Tamandua tetradactyla: one gene and its partner. Each later gene encodes a partner of the first gene's protein in a complex. Links are inferred from orthologs where the notes say so. Each region holds a gene or a part of one and is shown on either strand. Other genes may lie near its edges.

Region 1 (9,081 bases):
TTATATTCCATGATCCTCCCCTACCCCAATCATGGGTTAAGAATCTCGTACTGACCACAGATTATCAGGCAGTTTTTACATGAGCAAAGCAGATCACTCTGGGTCTAGAGCTGGACCAAGCTGTGTTAAAAATTTTGACTTCACTGTTTAAGTATCTCCCAATTGTTTGATCATGGTCTCCTTCCAGTTTAGTTTGGTAATGGATGCTGGCGATGGTAGCACAAAATTATGACCGTAATTAACCGCACTGAGTTATATATTTGAATGTGGTTAGAGGGGAAATTTTTAAATTGCACACATGTTACTAGAGTAAAAATTAGTTAAGAACATAGGACTGTGCAACACAAACAGTGAATCCTGTTGTAAATGAACAAATATAGTTAATAGAACAACTATAAAAATGCTCTTTCATGAACTGTAACAAATGTACCACACGAAAGCAAGGTGTAAATAGTAGGGTGGACCGTGGGAACTGTGCATGTTATGGATGATTTTTCTGTAAACTTACAACTTTTCTAATAATAGAAAAGAAAGGACACATAAAACATGATTTATGTATATTTATTCATAATATATGTATACAGTATTAACATATAAAATGCATTATAAAACATACACGAAATGTTTCATGAAACATTTCATGAAACGTTTTCATTTCATAATTGTGAAACACTGTGAAATGTTCCATTTCACAAAAACTATGAAGGAATGAGATGAAGACGATAGTAAAGTTTTAAACGTCTTGCTGATCATGATGATGTTGCACCATCAAAGGTTAACATCTCCAGGTAAAATATATTCTTAGGCCAGAATTCATCATTAATGATAGCTTATGTCTAAATTTCATGTAGTCTTTTGGATAATTGTGAATGGTTTTTAACCTTTCTCTTGTCAGATCCTGTTTTTACTTCTCAACATGGTGGACAATGTGCTATTCGAAGTTCAAGCCGCAGATCTGACACTGATTTTCACCTGGGCTGTCATTACTGGCAGTCTCTCAGTCTTTGATTTCTCTGTAGAAATCTTTTTAAGCCATTTGCTTCCTAAATAGGAGGGTTGCTTGTTTAAAACTAGAAAATATTACCTTGTGAGTCCATTTACCATCGAATCAGCTTCAGGTGATATCAATACCCAGAAAGTGAAAGAACCAGAGGGGACGCCACTGTCAGCCCTCTGTGTTGGGGACTCCTGCCCTGGCCTCATGGCCTCTGCATTCGTCAGGTACAATACAGGGTATATGGCCAGCTGACTCAGGGACCATGTAAAGGCCCCACAGTGAATGAGTGTGATAAACATTAATAAGGCTCATTTAAAAAATTTTTGCATCACTACATTTCTTTTATCATTGAAAGAAAAAGAAACAGACTTTCTAACATTCTTCCCACCTCCCACTGATTTGTCTTGCCCACTCCACTTAGGAGAACCTGCCTTAGGCAAATTATCTGTCATCTCAAAAAATGTTTTCTCATCGGTAAAATGGGTTTAATATCACAAATCTCAAAGGATTTAATGGCATATGTAAAGGGCTTTTACAAATTCTGGCATACGATTTAAAGGAGAAACAAAAGGGAGTTACTATCATAATTATTATTAGTCTATTACACAATTACCATGTATTCATTTGTGTTATTCTTAGCCTAATTAAAAAAAAAAACAAAAACCCAAACAAGCAAACTCCTCTCAATACTCTTCGTGTTATGGCAAGAGCTATAGCTTCTCCTCACCTTCTCTCCCTTAAACAAAACAAAATAAAACCCAAAAACATGTCAGCCTTTTCAGCTTAGAAAATAATACAAAGCTTCTGAACACTTAGTAATCTTGTTCATTAACATGATAATTGCTAACAACAAAGATCTTATGAATTCTCTATAATTTTAATATATGTCTCATCCTTTCATTCAACAAACTTTTTTTTTTCTTTTAACAGCATACAATGTGCTGGGCACCCTGCTAATTGCTGGGGCTTCAAAGATGAATTGAACTTGCTCTACATCCTCCAGGCACTAACCATCTAGTGGAGAATACCAAACAAATAATCGCATCAAAGTGATAAGTGCTATAATGGAGGTACACACTGGTTGCTATGGAAGCAGAATAGGACAAGGGGTCTCCTCTGCCCGGGGAAGGGAAGGAGGGCCACTGGAAGGACGCTGGGCCATTGCTGAGTCTTGGAGGATGTGGGGTGAGGACCTGCATTTCAGTCAGAGGGAATGTGGACGAGGAAGGAAGTCTCCTTTGGAACCAAAAGATAGACCAGGTTTCCCAGAGCTCAGGCATTTTGAGATGGTCAATGAGGCTGGTAGGGACCTGTCCAGGCACAGCCTTGGAGAACACGCTAAGTATGAAATTTATCCTATAATGGATTGAGAATGGACCGAGGACAAACTAGAAAGTGATATGATCACAAAGAGAATTGAGGTGGTATTTTGGAGGAATGATTGTGAGGAGACAAGATCTACTGGGATTATTGATTGAGGGGAAAAAAGGAGAGAGAGAAGTGTTTATTTCTACAATAAATTTATTTGCTAATTCTAAATACATTTCTCCAATAAATTTATTTGCTAATGCTAAATTCTCTTCATTAAATTAAATGTCAGCTGATTCAGTCTGTCAAAGCTTAGTTTCCATTATTGTAGATGAAGTACCTATTCCCTAAATGGTCTTACCTGCTCTTCTTTGAAGTTAGGCAACATTTTAGTAAACATTAACAGCTTGTCTGTTGAAACTAGAAGCTCCCTAACTTTGTGCATGGAATTTTTCTTTATGAGTATTTTGTCACTAGATATCAATTTTCAAACCCAGTATCTTACTCTTTACAGAACTAAAGCAGAGTTACATAACAAGTGAATATGGCCACACAGAAATGAAAAAGTGACTTCCATCCCTTGATGCCAAACTAGAAAGAGAAAAGCTAGTTCTGAGAACACATTATGACTCATCAAAGTCCAAAACGAAAAGCTTCATGTGAATATAGCATCCTGTGCAGCCTCCTGGAGTCCTTTTAGCCTCCAACCATATTTGCTTTTGTGTGATTTTCTGCAAAACAAAAGAATCCCATCATTTTCCTCCTTAACATCAATTGTTAAATTTTGCCTTACCTCAGAGATGAAGCTCATGCTAGGTGTTCTGCATTCTTTTTGTACCAAGTGAATGATGGTGCTCTTTCATTTCTCCTGAGTTTAGGACTTATTTTATAAAATTCTTATTTGCTGTAATGCAAACCATAAACAAGATGATTCTTCAGAGGAAAGATCTGAAGGGAGAAGGTGGTGCTTTCTTAGACTAATGTGAGGGAAAAGGAGATGAAAAATCTATATTTAATCTGTGCCCCCAATGAAGATCTTGTTTTTAAATTCCCATAGTTGTGCCTCTAATAGATGGATACCATCCTCTCCTGTAGCCCCAAGTACTACATCAAAATTTTATGTGAGCTGAAGAATACACACATATACAAAGGGAATGCTTTCTTCTTTACTTTCCCTTTGACAAAATGCCAGAAGGAATGGCCAGTCTCATCATCAGTGTCTTACTAAGGTGATGTTCTCTTTGAAATTTGGCATGGCAGGTGGAGGTGGGATAAAGGACACTCATTCGTGAGGGAATAAAGATGAAGTCATCGATTTCTGCAAGTTGGCATGTGAGGTTGGCATGCAAGGGAAGCAAAAACAAATTTAAACCTAATATTATCTAATGTAATGTACATTGTCATTATCTTACAGAGCCTTTTATAGACAACTGAGTTATCTGGCTATATGATTAGTTGCAATTTATTAGACAGTTAGAAGTTAGTATTTTTATTATACTTTTACTACAATTTTTGCTTAAGATTTCTTGCTGTATATTTCTCAGTTAATAGTTATGTTGGCCCTCAGGCAGGGAAAACAAGTTCTTACAACGGATTCTTCAGGGCATACTATACTCTATTTCACTTAGGTGTGCTATCTTTTGTTGTCTTGAGGTTCACTTTGGGCTAGACAGAAAATTAGGAGGACAAAGTTAACAATCAAGTAACAAGGCCTTGGAAAACCTCAGGATGGGGGATAATTGATACTCCTAGCCACTCCAAAAACGGTGTCTTTGCACACCAGGCTTCAGCTAGCAATGGACTGGCATGTGAACAATACCTGCCACATAATGCCACATGGAGTATTTGGTGTTCTTTCCACGGCTTCTTGTCTTCAATTTATTCAGCCTGTAGTTTCAAGCATCCTAGAACTGCATTTCAGATCTGGTTGCTCAAGTAGAGTCAATGTTGCAATAGCAAAATGGTGATAGGATAGGATTTTACTCTAGGGGAAAAAATCCTCAACCAAAGTCACAGTGCACTTGGAATGACTAATTTAAGCCATTACATTACAAAATAAGGGATAAATCATAGTTTTCATAACACTCCCGTGTAGGAACAGTTTTAATTTTAAGAGTCAAGCACCTACATTAATCTGAGTCTAAAATAATAGGCCCCTGATTTAAAATCTCCCAACATTCTTTCACACTTCATAAAACTAAAAATAAAATTGTCTCAGCAAACCCTGACCTATTGGTCCGACCAAAGTACCATGTTTCAAAGAAAATTAGAACAAGAGATCTCAAAACCGTGAAGTGCCCGAGGTTTACTATTTGTAGCCTTAATTGGTCTTAAATGTGGAGTGGGAGAGAAGAGACGATGGGCTGTAGAGAAAAAGAGATTTATTCCCCCTCTTAAATCAAAAGCAGATTCCGTTCTTCAACTGCCCCCGAGCTCGCTTGCCCCGCCCCCGCATCGGGTTGTTTTTCTATATTTTTGTATATATTTTACACGAAAATGACAGATGAGGAAGGTTACAGTGCTATGTCTACTCCACGGAATATACAGAGGGGTTAAAGCGGGCTTATTTATTTATAAGGCGTTCAGCCTCTCAGCTGTTTCTCCCCTCACTGGCATTTGGAAGCTTGCAATCCTTTGGAGAAGAGACTGATTTGGCAGGAATGTTCTTTGTGCCTGCTACCCTATGGGGGGGGGGGGGGGAGGGAGCAGATTTGTAATTACAGCCCGGGGTGGGGAACGGAGAAGAAAAAGTTTCAACCGGCACGATAATGCCCCCTTTTTTCCCCCCTCGGTCAGCACCGTGCCACCAACAGCTTTTGGTGCCACTTAGAGCCTCTCCCTGTCCCCTCCTTTTCTCTCCGCAGGCTCGCACTGGCAGGCGGAGACAGTTAAATTCCAGCACCTTCCCCACATACCCCCAAACTACTACGCGCTATTACTACGGCTTCCCTCCCTTTCGCTTCGCCTCCTCCTCCCCTCCAGCCTCCCCGGAGGCGGCCCGCAGCGCCTGGGGAAGAGGACTGCCAAGGCAGGAATAACAGACGCCCAACTCCATCAGGGCTCGGGGCTTTCTGCGTCCTGCGCAGTTTATCCGCCCCAGGCAAAAACACAGCCCTAGAGCCGGCGCCTTGCAGCCACACACGGATCCAGTACAGTAGAGCTGTCTCGGTCTACATTCTTGCACACCGCCCCCTCCTCCCCCCGCGCTCGCGGAGTCGCCGAGCCGAGCGAGTGACAGGCGCGTCCCACCAACCCGCGCCCGGCCGGGCAGGGAGGAGCGGCTCTCGGGGCCAACTGCGGCGCGTCTTCCGGCGCCCGTGGAGGCGGCGAGGGTGGGACGCGGGGCGGAGCCCGAGTTTAGGAAGAGGAGGGGATGGCTGTCATCAATGAAGTCATATTCATAATCTAGTCCTCTCTCCCTCTGTTTCTGTACTCTGGGTGACTCAGAGAGGGAAGAGATTCAGCTAGCACACTCCTCGCGAGCAAGGTAAATATAACTTACAACTCCTTTCTCCTCTTTCCCCTCCCTCGGGGCTGCCCGCTGGAGCCGCGGCGCAAACCCCCTCCAGCACTGCGCCGCCTTCGCTGGGGATTATTCATTATTCTCCTAATTATTATTTATTGTGCATGCACGGAGACCAAAACAAACAGGCGGGCCAACCGACACAACAACAAAAAAGCCCGCCTCCTCCCCGCGGGCCTCAGGTGGAATGCTCTAACGACAGCTGCCGGGCGGGTGTGGAAGAAACGGGAAAGTTTCAACTGAACCTTGCTGTTCTAATAATAATAATAATAATTACTACTTAGAGGGAGCCAGGAGGAAAAACCAACAAACCACAGCCTTGACCCTGTGTAGGCAGTCGGCAATGCGCTGCCAACTTAAGGTTGCAACACACACACACTCGGCAAGGTTGTAATCCGCCCCATCCCCTTAAAAGCCGGGGGGGGGGGGGGGAGGCTTGGGGGGAGGTGGAGGAGAATGGAAACGCGACAGTTCATCCCGAGCAATCCTCCCCGGAAGAGTTGGAAGGGGAGCGGGAGAGGAGGACGAAGAGTCCGGGCAGGCGGCGGGGCGCCAGCGGACGCGGCTGCCACCGCTCCGGGGGATTTGTTTAAAGGGCTCCGACTGCGGAGACGCGAGTGGATTGCGGCGGGAGAAGCCGAAGCTGACGCGCGGAGAAAGCGGCAGCTACAAGCCGCCGGGCTGGTGAGCGCCGGATCCGAGGTGTCACCTGCACTTTCCGCGTTCCCTCCGGCGGGGACGGGGCCGCTGGCAGATAGACAGCAAGGCCTTTGGGCAAAGCGGCTACGGGGCGGGGGGAGGGCGGGGGGTACGCCCCGGGCGCTGCGGGCATCCCTGCTCCTGGTACCTGGCGGCCGTGCAGGCTCGGGTGTTGAAGTTCGGGGTGTCCGGCCCCGGCAGCATCGCTGGGAGGGAGAGAGGAGGCCCCGAAGAAGGAGGTCGGAGGTGCCAGCCAGGTTCAGTTACACTACCCTCCCCCTCCCCGGGTTTGTTTTCTTTTGCTTCGCTTCTTTCCCTTGGCTAGGGCTTGGGGAGCAGCGGGCGTGGGTCGCCGGTGATCGTTCGGGTGCTAGGGGCTCGCTGGGGCCCAGGAGAGCCAAGGCGGCTGCGGGCCGAGGAGGCCATGATCCGGATAATCCTCTCTGCCTGACTGTCACAAACAGAACTCTCACGCACCCGGGCAGCGGTGGTGGCGTTCGCCGGCTAAAAGGGAAAGGGCTGAGGGGGAGGATAGGGGGTAGCGAGGGAGGGAGGCTGGGAGATGGGGTGGGAGCTTCCTCCCAACGATGACACGGACCCCTTCCTTCTCGCTCCATGCTTTCGAGTTTGCTTTATTCCCATCCCAACCTGGTTTACCCCTTACTCAGCTCTTCCAACCCCCCTTCACCCGCCCGCCTTCCCTCCTCCCGTTTGCGTTGCAAATGCTGCCATGCCATCTGCAAAGGTGTCGCGATGCACTTCCCCAAATAACCGGTCCGGCGCGCCAGTCCCCGGGCGCCCACCGACCGCAGAGCACACGCCGAGCCCGGTGCCCTGGTACCCTGCACAGGCCTCACAGCCTGGGCGCAGTTGCACCTTGTGGGGCGGGGCACAGCAGTGCGGGCTCCGGGACACCCAGCGCGCTGGCCTGGGCACTCGCGCCGGTTTCCGGTACACGCGGGGAAACCGCCTGCTGCCAGTGTCTGCGCGCTTGCCCCCGCCTCCGCCGCCCGATTGCTATTATTTTTATACGGTCGCCGTTTGCGGCGTATGGTGGTGAGCGCCAGGCTTGCCGGGCTGCTTGGGGGTTGGGGGTGGAGAGAAGTTGGACGTGGATCAGGCAGGAAAAAAAAAAAAGTTTGGCAGGGAGGCTAACTACGGTGGAGGGATGGGAGGGGGCGGCGAGCGCCAGCAGCTTGCGTCTCGGCGCCCTCGGGGCCGGGGCGAGGGTGCCTGCGCGTGAGTGTGAGTGTGCGTTGTGCGCGTCGGGGCGAGTGCGTCTGGAGTCGCCGCGCGGGCAGCCGCTCCCGCCCGCGCCCTCCCGAGGAGCTCAGGGAGGGAAAGACGAGGTTTGGCGGCGGGAGCTGCTGGGGGTGACGTGCTCGTGTGAATGTGAGTGTGTGTGTGCGCGCGCGAGCGGCAGAGAATCAGGAAGTCACAGCAGCGAAGCGCACACAGACATGTTTGATCGCCGTGACATGACGCGCGCGAGGAAGGAAGCGGCGGCGGGGGCCGGGCCCCGGGCTCCGGCGCGGGCCTAGAGCTCTGGGGAAGAACCACGCTCCGGGCGGTGGACCGCGCCGACCCCGCAGGCTCTCGGAGTCCCAGCGCCGCTTTTTGTTCCGAGTCCCCCAGGTAAGCAGCCTGCGCCGCCACTGCCACCGCCCGCGTTGTGCGGAGCTTTCCAGCTCTTTCCCTGCCGGCCCCCTCTGATCTCCCCGCTCGCCTTTCCTGCCTGCAAAGTCAGGCAGGCGGGGGGAACTGGCTCCTTGTCCTCCCATCGATTGCGTGGAAAACTTTACAGCGGGAGGCACCGTGGAGGAGGAAAAAGAAGGCCTTGCTGGCTGCTGTCGCTTGTCAGACCTTTCTCCTTCAGGTCCGGAGAGTGTGAGTCGCTGCGCCCTGGGGCTGTTCCACCTTCAAACTTCGGGCCTAAATGTGCCTCCGACTCTCGCAGGATTTGCTCCAGCAATAAGATAAATATTCAAAGTCGTCCATTTGGTCTGGTCAGGCGTTTGGATTTTTTTAAGGGAAGAAGGGAGTCGAGGGAGTGGGGGTGTTGTGCAGAATCCATTCCTTATTTAATATCTGCACCGTGTGTTATGTAATTTTTGTAGCACATGGGTGCAAAGCCCATACTGGGCTTCTCCCCTCCTTTGTTTATATAACTTTTGGGAGAGTTTTGTACGGTTGTCGTCTTTTTTTCTCCTTCCCTAGCTTGGTGAAGGTTAGTGCTTTTGAAAAAAAGCAAGCGGCCCGAATTAGTATTTTTTGAAGCGGTGTCATCATTGTCTTCTGGTCATTATGGAGACACGTATTCCTAAATACTCACCAACTGTGTAATGTTAGAGCGTAAGGAAGACATTAAAAATCCACGTTTGCTTGTTTACTGCATTGAGTCGCTTTTTACGTCTATGTGTTACCGATAGCTGAGTTAACTTTTAAAATGACATTTCAAAGGACTTTTTTTTTTTTTTATGTCTGTTTGTGTGCTCTGCTTGAGTGGACAGTATTGTTGGCTGCTTCTTGAGTAGAAGACAAATTTTCACCAACC
Region 2 (9,484 bases), on another chromosome or scaffold:
AAATGAGCTTTCTAAAAAGGATCATCTCTTCATTTTCACTGCTAGCTTAAAATCTGTCACTGTTGCCTTATTGCCTTCCAGATAAAACACCACATTTTAAAGTATTCTCACCCCGTCCTTGCCTCTCCAGCTTTTTCTGTCTCACCAGTCCCCCTCTACCAAGGAGATCCCCTGAAGTTGTGCTGCCCTTTCTCACACCCCCAAAATCTTTATATATTCTACCACCTCTGCAGGGACATCTTTTCCTCCTATGAACCATTCAGGATTGAGCTCAGAAGTCGCTTCTTCTGAAAAGATAACCTGGTCAGTTTAGGTGCCCCTGGTCCACACCACAGTGCCCTGTGCTCCTCCACCCATGGCTTTGGGATGCAACTGCCTGCTCCCTCCTCCCTGACTTTTTGAATAAGAGCTTTTATAACCTTTATAGGTTGGTCTATCTTAGGTCTCTCTGTACCCCCAAGGTCCAGGAGTGAGGGTGGCATGGTGGCACAGAGTAGAGATTCTCCAAATATTTTCTATATGAATTAGCTGTTGGCGGAGATGGGTGGGAGGTCTAAAGGCCCTTAAGCCCTTGACTCATTTTTAAAATCTACCCAACTTTGGCCCAAATTAAACATGACCTTCTCCATAAAGCCTTACTGAGGACCTTTGACTCGTATACCCTAGTATATTCCCTAATATATCCTTTATACTAGTTTATGAAAATCTCAATGTCTTGAAACCTTGGGAACCCAAAGGAATGAACCTTTGATGGTGTCCATAGTAGTCATTTAATAAACACCCAAGGACGCATCCATTGGGATCCCATGATCCCTGCCAGGAAAAGGGGACTGGCTGAGCAGGCTGCTCTTCCCTTTTAAGTCACATTAAGTAATTGCTCTGCTGGCTCATGGGGCGGGCCTGCCATCGTTATTCTCCCTCCAGATGCAGGATGAGATCTTTTTGAGGGTTGTTTTCATGTCTGGTTTGTTTTTATTTTGCCACCTGTGCCTAGCACAATGTCTCCCTCATAGAAATTCCTCAATGGATGAGTGACTGAATGAGCTAAGTTAGTGGGAAGCAGCAAGCATTGATTCCTTTTTATGACTCTACTCAGAAATATGTGATTTTCGAGGCCTGGCCCTAGGAGCATCACCCAAATCCAGAGCTTGATATGCTTTTTCTTTTCTACGCTTTGAGAAATTGTAAAGGGAGTAAGAATCCTTCCCTACCATTTTCCCTAAGAAAAGAGAAAGCCAGGTTATGTTTTTCTTTTTTTAACTTAAAGAAAGTTATTGTGGTTATATATGCATATATGATATATAAATTGCCATTTTAACCATTTTAAGTGTATAATTCAATGGCATTAATTGTATTTACATTGTGCTACCATCACCATCATCCATTACCAAAATTTTTCATCACTCCAAATAGGAACTCTTTACCTATTAGGCAATAATTCCCCATTCCCCTCTCACCCAAGCCCCTGATAACCTCTGATCCACTTTCTGTATCTATGAATTTGCTATTCTGTATAAATGAAGCCATATAAGTTATCCTTTTGTGTCTGGCTTTTTTCACTTGGCATAATGTGTTCAAGGTTCATCCATATTATAGCATGTATCAGCGCTTCTTTCCTTTTTATGGCTGAATAATATTCATATATATATTCTGCTGCAGTTTATCCATGCATCGGATGGTGAACACTTGGGTTGTTTCCACCTTTCTGCTATTGTAAATAATGCTGTCATGAATATTGGTTTACACGTATCCATGTGATTCCCTGCTTTCAATTATTTTGAGTATACTTAGGAGAGGTATTGCAGGTCATGTGGTATGGTTAGCTTTTTTATAGGCTGCAGTTTTTATGCCCTCTATTCTTCAAAAGAATTCCTCTTCAGCTCAGTGCCTAGAATGTACCAAAGCTGGTTCTGGATCTCAGGGAACCAGCCCAGGTCAACCAGCTGCCCTGGGCATGGCTGGTTAGTCTGCAGATAAATGGAGGGATTGCTCTTGTTCTAATGCCCGCAAGACCCGAGACTCCTTCAAGCCCCAGAGCCCACCAGGGACTGCATTTATTTTGGACGGCTTCTGTGGTATGCTTCCTCTTTTAAATGAACTCTGGCTGTTCTTGAAGTTTGCATCTCCTTTCTTTACTTCCCTCTCGTATATGGATGTGCCTTTAAAAAGTCAGCTGGAAAGTTTGGCACCTGCTACAAAAGTGCCATTCTTCCCTACTTCTAGACGGACATCTCCTCATTGCTGAGACAAACTTCAGACTTTTTAGGAGTGAACAGGTATGGGTGCCCCTTGTGGTTTGGGTGCATGGGTCCTTGTTGTACCCCAAATGTTCCTTTGGATGGGTGGCATTGAACATGTACCTGAGCTGGACCAGAGAGTCTGCTAATTGATAAGGTTAGATTTGAAAAGATTATGCAGAATGAATGCATATGACTGAGATAGGCCCCACGCTTACTTCCCTGGTAACACACAGCCTTGAGCAGCACTGTCCATAGAAATACAATGGGAGCCACACGTGCAATTTTAAATTTTCTAGTAGTCACATTAAAAGAAGTAAAAAGAAATAGGGAATATTAGCTTCAATAATGTATTTATTTACCTAATATATCCAAAATATCATTTCCACATGTAATCAGTATAAAAAATGATTTATGAGATATGTGACATTCCTTTTTATCATACAAAGCCTTATGAAATCCAGTGTGTATTTTATACTTATGACATCTCAATTTGTACTTGCCACATTTCAAGTGCTCAATAGCCACAGGTAGTCTCTGGCTACCATATTGGACAGTGCAGCTCTAGACTCTCAGGTGGGATGGGGAAGAGGTTATTTTGGACCCACTCTGCCTAGCAAATTAGGCTGCCTAGGCAGCTATATAAAGATGGAAGAAATGGGGCTGGGTGGAGTATATTCAAGTATATGAATATCTATAGAGCTTTAGAAATGTGATTTTAAAAGTGTCTTGAAAGTCTACTGAGCAAGAGGACATGGTTTAAGTAGTGAAATGACCCCTGATCGAAAAATTCCTGTTTATTATTTTTTCCTCAAAGTTATTCAGTTGCCATTTTTCTCAGAGCAATAAGTTAAATAAAGTTTAACTATGTACCTTATACCATCAGGAAAGAATTAAGTATCTGTAAAAATAATGGTCACCATTTTTCGAGATCTTGCTATGTGCCAGACACTTGACATATATTATTCAATCCTGGCAAGAGCCGTATGAAAATTCTATTATTATTATTGCCACTTTTCGGATGAGGACACTGACACCATAGAGTAGCTAAGTAAACTGGCCCAAGATAATGCAGCTGGAAAGTGAAGGACTCAGGAAAACAGATTTCAGAGCCCACACTCCGTTAACATATACAACACTGCCTCACAAAACTAAACATTCTCTGAAATTCTACTAGGCTCCTATCACCTTTAGGCATGTCCATTCTAAGCCCTCTTGCTTTTAAGCATTCTGGTGAAAAACATGTGTCTTTTTGGTGGGTTGGTATATTTAAGACATATTTGGAGCATTTGGCTTCATGCCATACCATTGCAAATTGGCAGAATGGGACCTGCTTTACTGTAGAAACATTGTGATCTATGATAAAGAAGATAAAGTTGAAAATAATAATAACTTATATAGCTGAGAACTGACAAAAGGCAAATTCACAATTCTGTTTATTTAGAAGTTGTACCTGCAGTGTCTGAATTAAAATGCTTTCTACTGGGTTACAAAAAAAACCCAAGATTAACCTACTTAAAAAAACATAGTTTTATTTCATTATTTTTTCGATTTTCACATTATAAAATGTAACTTAGATGTTTCAATTCCAGATGAAAACTCTCTCAAAATGAAGGCAAAGAAAAAGTTTGAAAAATCATGGGCTGCCACTTTCATATGTGCCAGATATTAGGAATTATGCCAAGGCCTTAACACAGTAAACTATATGTATATGCTTTGAGTATATATTTTTTCTTTTAGATGTAATACTTTGTTTTTCTTCTCTTCTCCCATTAAATTGTAAGCATTGTTCAGGGCAGGTGCAATACTATATTTCTTACTTCTTTTATAAAGCTGCATATATTAAAATATGTTGTCCTTCAATTCGAACTCGTGGGAATTATGACTAATACTTCAACCTCATCTGAGAAGCCTGAACTTCTTCATCTGAACATAATAGTTGCTTCTCAGTGATATCAGGGTCCATCTCAGGCAAAGATAAGCTTTGGAACTAAGCCCTTAATATGTTTGAATTAATGAGGAAGGGTGTTTTCAAACTTCAATTATTGAAAAGGGGACAACGTTTTTCAAACTGCCATCTCTGGCAAGGTGCTGTCAAAAAAGTCACAAAGGCAATCCATAGAACCTGGCTCTGCTATTAACTAATCAGAAAGAGAGGAGTTAAAAATTTCAAGTCTATTACAAACATACTGATTCAGCCATGTTCTGTTTATCTGTAACTCTAGTGGTGTAGGGAGTTGAACTCTGAAGTTTTGGAACTTTTTTTTTCTTTTAAAAAAAATTCATTGCCTTGAGAGGAGCGCTGAGAAAGGAAGTGAGAGGGCAAAGCTTTGAGAGGGCAATCTGGCATCTCCATTCTCCCCTTCTCACCCCTCCCCCACTATCTTAGCTATTTGACCTGATTAAACAGCCAGACTTCTCTATGCTAACGAGGGCCCTGCCTGCCCTATTCTCGACAGTACGATTTCATCCACCCGGAGCTTCCCGGCTGCCCAGTGGAAGCCTGATTTCGCAGAAGTCTCCCAGTTTTGTCAGGGGTTCGCCAGTGAGGGAATTCACACTAACTTGAAGCAGAAGGTCTCTCGGAACGCCTCGGGTCACACCGGATTATTCATTAGCAAATTCTTTTCAGCTTCTACCTAAATAGTGAAAGATGACGCCAGAATCGCGTGTGCCACTCCCCGAAAGGGACTCTAGCAACACCCATTCTAGGCTCCATAACTCCTGTCTTCAAGTTATTCGCTTTCCTAGTAACAGAAGGCGCTTCCACTGGTTTCCCTAAACCTCCCTTATCCCTAAGCCTAAAGGTCAGAGAGCTTAGCTCTCCAGTTGGCGGGATCCGCGATCATTTCCGAAGTTTCGGGAGTGTGGGGTGAACAGAAGGGGTGGTATTGGGGAATCGCTCAGTGTGACCACCCTGCATTACGTAACGAAAGCCCGGGCTGCTGTAGAGAGCGAACTTGACATTGAGACATTCAGGGGGAGGGGAGTTGCTGTCCTGCAGTCGTCAGGAACAGCGGCGGCAGTGCGGCGGCAGTTACAGGGGAGAGGAAGGTGGCCGAGATAAAGAAAACACTTCGGGAGTAAGAATATTAAAAAGTCGTAGGACCCAGAGCATTAGCAAACGGCTACGTTTAGTACATTGTTTGACGAAACAGCAAGCTTTCAACTTTTGCACGGGAACAAGAGGACTTGCTCTTTGGGAGAGTAAAAACACTATTAGCAAAGCCGAAAGATAATGAATGGGGTTCAGTGGTTTGCTGGCGATACTTAAATATTTCTGTTCAAGATCGCAAATTTTGCAGCTATTTAGAAAAGTAGGGTCTCAGACCAAACTAGAATACTCGTCCCGTGCGTCTCCAATTTCCCCAAACCGAAAAGGAGCTGCTCGCGCGGTACTGCCCCTTTAAGACCTGCTCGCTCTTGGGCTCTACAAAAGGGAGTGACCTCTGGGCTTTGACAGCTCCCCTAATAACTACCATCGCGCAGGCCCTGCCCACCTGGCGACCAGCCGCGCCGATTGGCCGGCGGGCCGGTATCCCGTGTTCTGATTGGCTCGCCGCTTCCCCTGAGCGAACCTTTAGAACTCTGAGACAGACAATATTCTGTTACATTGTAGCAAAATGGCGACTGTCATTCACAACCCCCTGAAAGCGTAAGTAAGGCTAAAAAATGTACATATTCCGCGTGGTTTCAATATGAAAAAAAGGCGCCTTCTCCGTGCTGAGCGCTGCCAAAGCACTGCGCTTGCAGGCGCCTCCAGTCACCGCGGGGCTTCTCTCTTTTCTTTCAGCTCCTACTTCATCTTTTTCTTTTCCCCCAACGCACAGAAATGTCAGGAGATGCAATTAACAAGAAGAAAATTGTTACATTTGGGTTCTGCTTAATTGGTGGACGGAGAGAGAGAAGGGTTATCGGCAGGGTAGCCTGGCGCCCGAGCGCTCCACAGCTAGGGGGATTGCGGGCAGCTTGGGGACAGCGCGGTCTCCGGAGCCCCTGGGCTCGCCGGGTGGCGAGCGCCGCTCGGGGAGCGGTCGAGCTGGGGGCTAGTGCCGGGCAGGGGCCGCCTGGGTATATTCGGCTGAGTCCCGCGCCTCAGAGCCCGCAGTCTCCGCCGGGTGGCTTGGTCCGCGCGGCAAGCGGATCGCGGTGGCTCAGGAGTTTGCAGGGCGCTCTTCGCCTTCCGATCGCTCGCGGGGAGTTTGGGCAAACCTTCCGGAGTTGGAAGGACCGCGGGGGGGGAGCAGCGGGTCCCGGGAGCCCTCGGGCCCAGGTGGCTGCCCCGGGCTTTCCTGCCGGGGCAGCCCTCGGAGCATGACGGCGCTCCGGGCGGTAGCCGGTGTGCATGTATGCGTGTGTGTTTGCGGGCGAACTGGCCGTAGTAAATTAATGACTCGGGTTAACTTGGGGTTGATTTGGAGGCAGCGAAGCTGCAGGTCTTATGAATGGTGTTCTTGCTTCCCCTGGGTGAAATGCCGAGGCGTGCGGAGAGGCGGCTTGGGGCCCCCGGCCTGAGCGGCAGTGTCTGCTCCCGGCCAGAGCAAGGGGCAGGTGCCTCTGGCCGCCGCCGGGAGACTTTGAGCGGACGCCCAGATCCGGGACGAAGCGGGGGGCGGCGGGGTGGGGGTGGGGGGGCGGGCTGAGCAAGGACATGCGGGGGCCAGTCCCCGGGTTCGACAGCCAATTCCTGCCTGCCTGCCTTCCTCCTTCTTTTCATCCTGGCTTCCTTCCTTCCTTTCAGTCGGTGGAACTGTTAAGCCGCCAAGTCCGCTTGCTATCGCGGAGCCGGGGGTGGGCTCAGAAAACTAGCATCGCTCTAAGGGGGATGATGTTGGCTGTGCTGTTGGCAGAGGGGGGGGGGGGAGGCTCCCTCCGGATTCGCGGCGCGACGTGGGCTCGGGATCGGTGCCCATTCCACCAGGACTTCCCTGCTGGGATGGAAGCCTCGGGCTAGGGGAGGGGATGTCCGGGCGGAGGGGAGTTTCGTGTCCCTTGTGCGTTGCCTAAACAGATCCTGGTTCTTTCACCCGCGCGCGTCCGCGTCCGCCTCCCGGGCTCCTCCGGGAGTTTAAAACCAGGTTCGCACCCGGAGGCAGTAGACAGCTCTCGAACGCGAAGGAACGCGCTGGGAGAATCGGCCGTATTTGCACTGGTTAACTTCTCACCAGCAATAAGGGAAAAGGATAGGAATGTCCCAGTTTTCGGAGTTTTAAACATATATATAATTAAAGGTCGGGTTGGGGAGGCGGGGGAGGGGCATTGGAAGCTAAGGCTGATCCGAGAGGAGTCCCCGGCTTTCAGCTCTCCGTGGGAAGCTCGGATACACAACACTTGAACGCCACGGCGTTTCACCCAAGAAAGAAAATGTTTTATGGCAGAATAAATGGGCGTAACTTCTCCGCATCCTCGTTTGCAGTCGCTCGCGCTGCTGCACAGCCGATGCTGTGAGTTTCTATCGAATCCAGAGCCGATTTGCAGTTTCCCCATTTTCAGCCGAAATCGCGTATCTGGGCTGATGCCATCTGATAAACTCAAGTTAGAGAAATCTATTTCGCATGTGCGCCGGGTTTGTTTTCTATAGGGAAAGCTGTACCCTCGTTTTCCAGGAGCCAGTTTATGCGCTGGTGCAACGTCTTCCGGCTCCAGGGTTCCCTTGCTCGCTCCAGTATTTTTTTTTTTAACCATAGGAGGATGCATGTTTGGTTTGGGTAGGGTGTCTGTGTAGGGGTGGAGTTAAGGGTAGGGGAAGAGACAGAGAGGCGGGAAAAGGAGGCTAAATCCCGACTGCTTAGTGGAATTTGTTCTGAATTATGCTTGCACTTTATATAATTAGAAACAGTTGCAGTGTCATGTACTTGTAATTCTGCTTCCCCCCCCCCCCCCCCACTGACTTACACACAACACCTTGCCTGCTTTTTCCAGGTGAAAGTTGAGTGGTCATTTATAGTTAACCGCCCCTTTTTGCATCCCAACCCCTTTCCCTGGGGGTGAGGGGGTGTAAACAATACCCCCGCGCCCTCGACTATTTTTAAACTACTCACGCTGGAGCACGCACGGTGTTATGGGGAGACCGACACCATCTGCCTTTATTTTTTAAAACGACTTGTTTAATAACACATTTTATATATTTCATTTGTCTTTTAAAAGTTGCCGATCAGGAAACAATACACACATGAATAAATTATGCATGGGATAAATTAGAACAAAGCGCGGAGACACATCCAGGGAAGGGGACGGATGGCGGTGCTGGGAGGAGGGGGAAGCCGGGAGAACGGTTTGGAGAGCTCTGTTTTTATCCTCCTGTGTCCCTCCTGACAATGAAACGGAGCTGAACGACATTAGCATTTTCTCTGTGTGCATTCTGAGTCTTTTCTCCCTTTTCTTAAAAGAAAAAAAGCCACCACCATCGATGCCCCCTATAGAAACTGGTCACACAAAGGTTTCGGGTACTGGGGAATAGCGAGGTAGGAGGTAACTGTGCTGCGAAGAAGCAGGCTCAGGTCTCGTGCAACCCCTCTGTAGGGCTCTGCTTACCCTAAGCATGGGCCATTTTTCACTACATTAGCTTTATCCATGTGGGACATTCAATAATTCAATAGCCTGGGTAACTGGATGGCACAATTTCAGTCTCATTGCTTTGGGGTCTTCCTTAGGGTCCCAGTTCCTGACACCACATCTTCCTTAGCAGCCTGGCTTTTCTTCCTGCTGGTCTTTGATCTCCCCTCTACTTCCTTTCTTATTGCCCCTTGGTGTACCCTCCTCACCCCCTTCCTCTCAGAAGCTGACAGCCTGGCTTCTCTCTCTGTTGTTGCTTTAACTCTTATTACTGCCCAACAGGGTGTTAGAGGCAGAAACAGGAGCCGGTTGGACTGATCAGATCACAAAGGGGTTGGCTGCGGCAGGTGGCTCCACAACCAAGCAGCCACATCTGGACAAATAGAATTTAAAAGCATTTATATGGGCATGTATGATGTGTAAATGTATGTTACACATTATTTAATTTAGCAGCTACATTGTCTGAGCCTAGATGTGTGAGAATCACCCTCATTTCTTACGTATGCAGGCAAGATGAAGGCCAGGTAGTAAAGTGAATATATGTAGGCATCATAAGCAGGGATTTGATAAAGGGCTGTGTGGATTGTATTCTGGCTGGGGTCTGCGCACCTAGGAACCTTCATGCTTTTAATCTAAATTCTAATCTTAATTCCTATCTAGTTCAGGTAAATCACCCCCCCCCCCAATCTGCT

What was found.
Region 2: SMARCA2 (region 1) and DPF3 share a complex: the UniProt entries of both Homo sapiens proteins name them as parts of the BAF complex. The link is inferred for Tamandua tetradactyla from reciprocal best matches to the Homo sapiens genes SMARCA2 and DPF3.

Annotation. Positions count from the first base shown.
Region 1 is NC_135328.1:96,171,959-96,181,039, reverse strand, and holds the start of SMARCA2 (SWI/SNF-related matrix-associated actin-dependent regulator of chromatin subfamily A member 2), read left to right. Parts: upstream 1-5,617; 5' UTR 5,618-5,792; intron 5,793-6,278; exon of another isoform or gene 6,279-6,512; intron 6,513-7,788; exon of another isoform or gene 7,789-8,162; intron 8,163-9,081. UniProt on the Homo sapiens protein: ATPase involved in transcriptional activation and repression of select genes by chromatin remodeling (alteration of DNA-nucleosome topology).
Region 2 is NC_135338.1:31,489,037-31,498,520, reverse strand, and holds the start of DPF3 (zinc finger protein DPF3), read left to right. Parts: upstream 1-5,829; 5' UTR 5,830-5,860; coding exon 5,861-5,892; intron 5,893-9,484. UniProt on the Homo sapiens protein: Belongs to the neuron-specific chromatin remodeling complex (nBAF complex).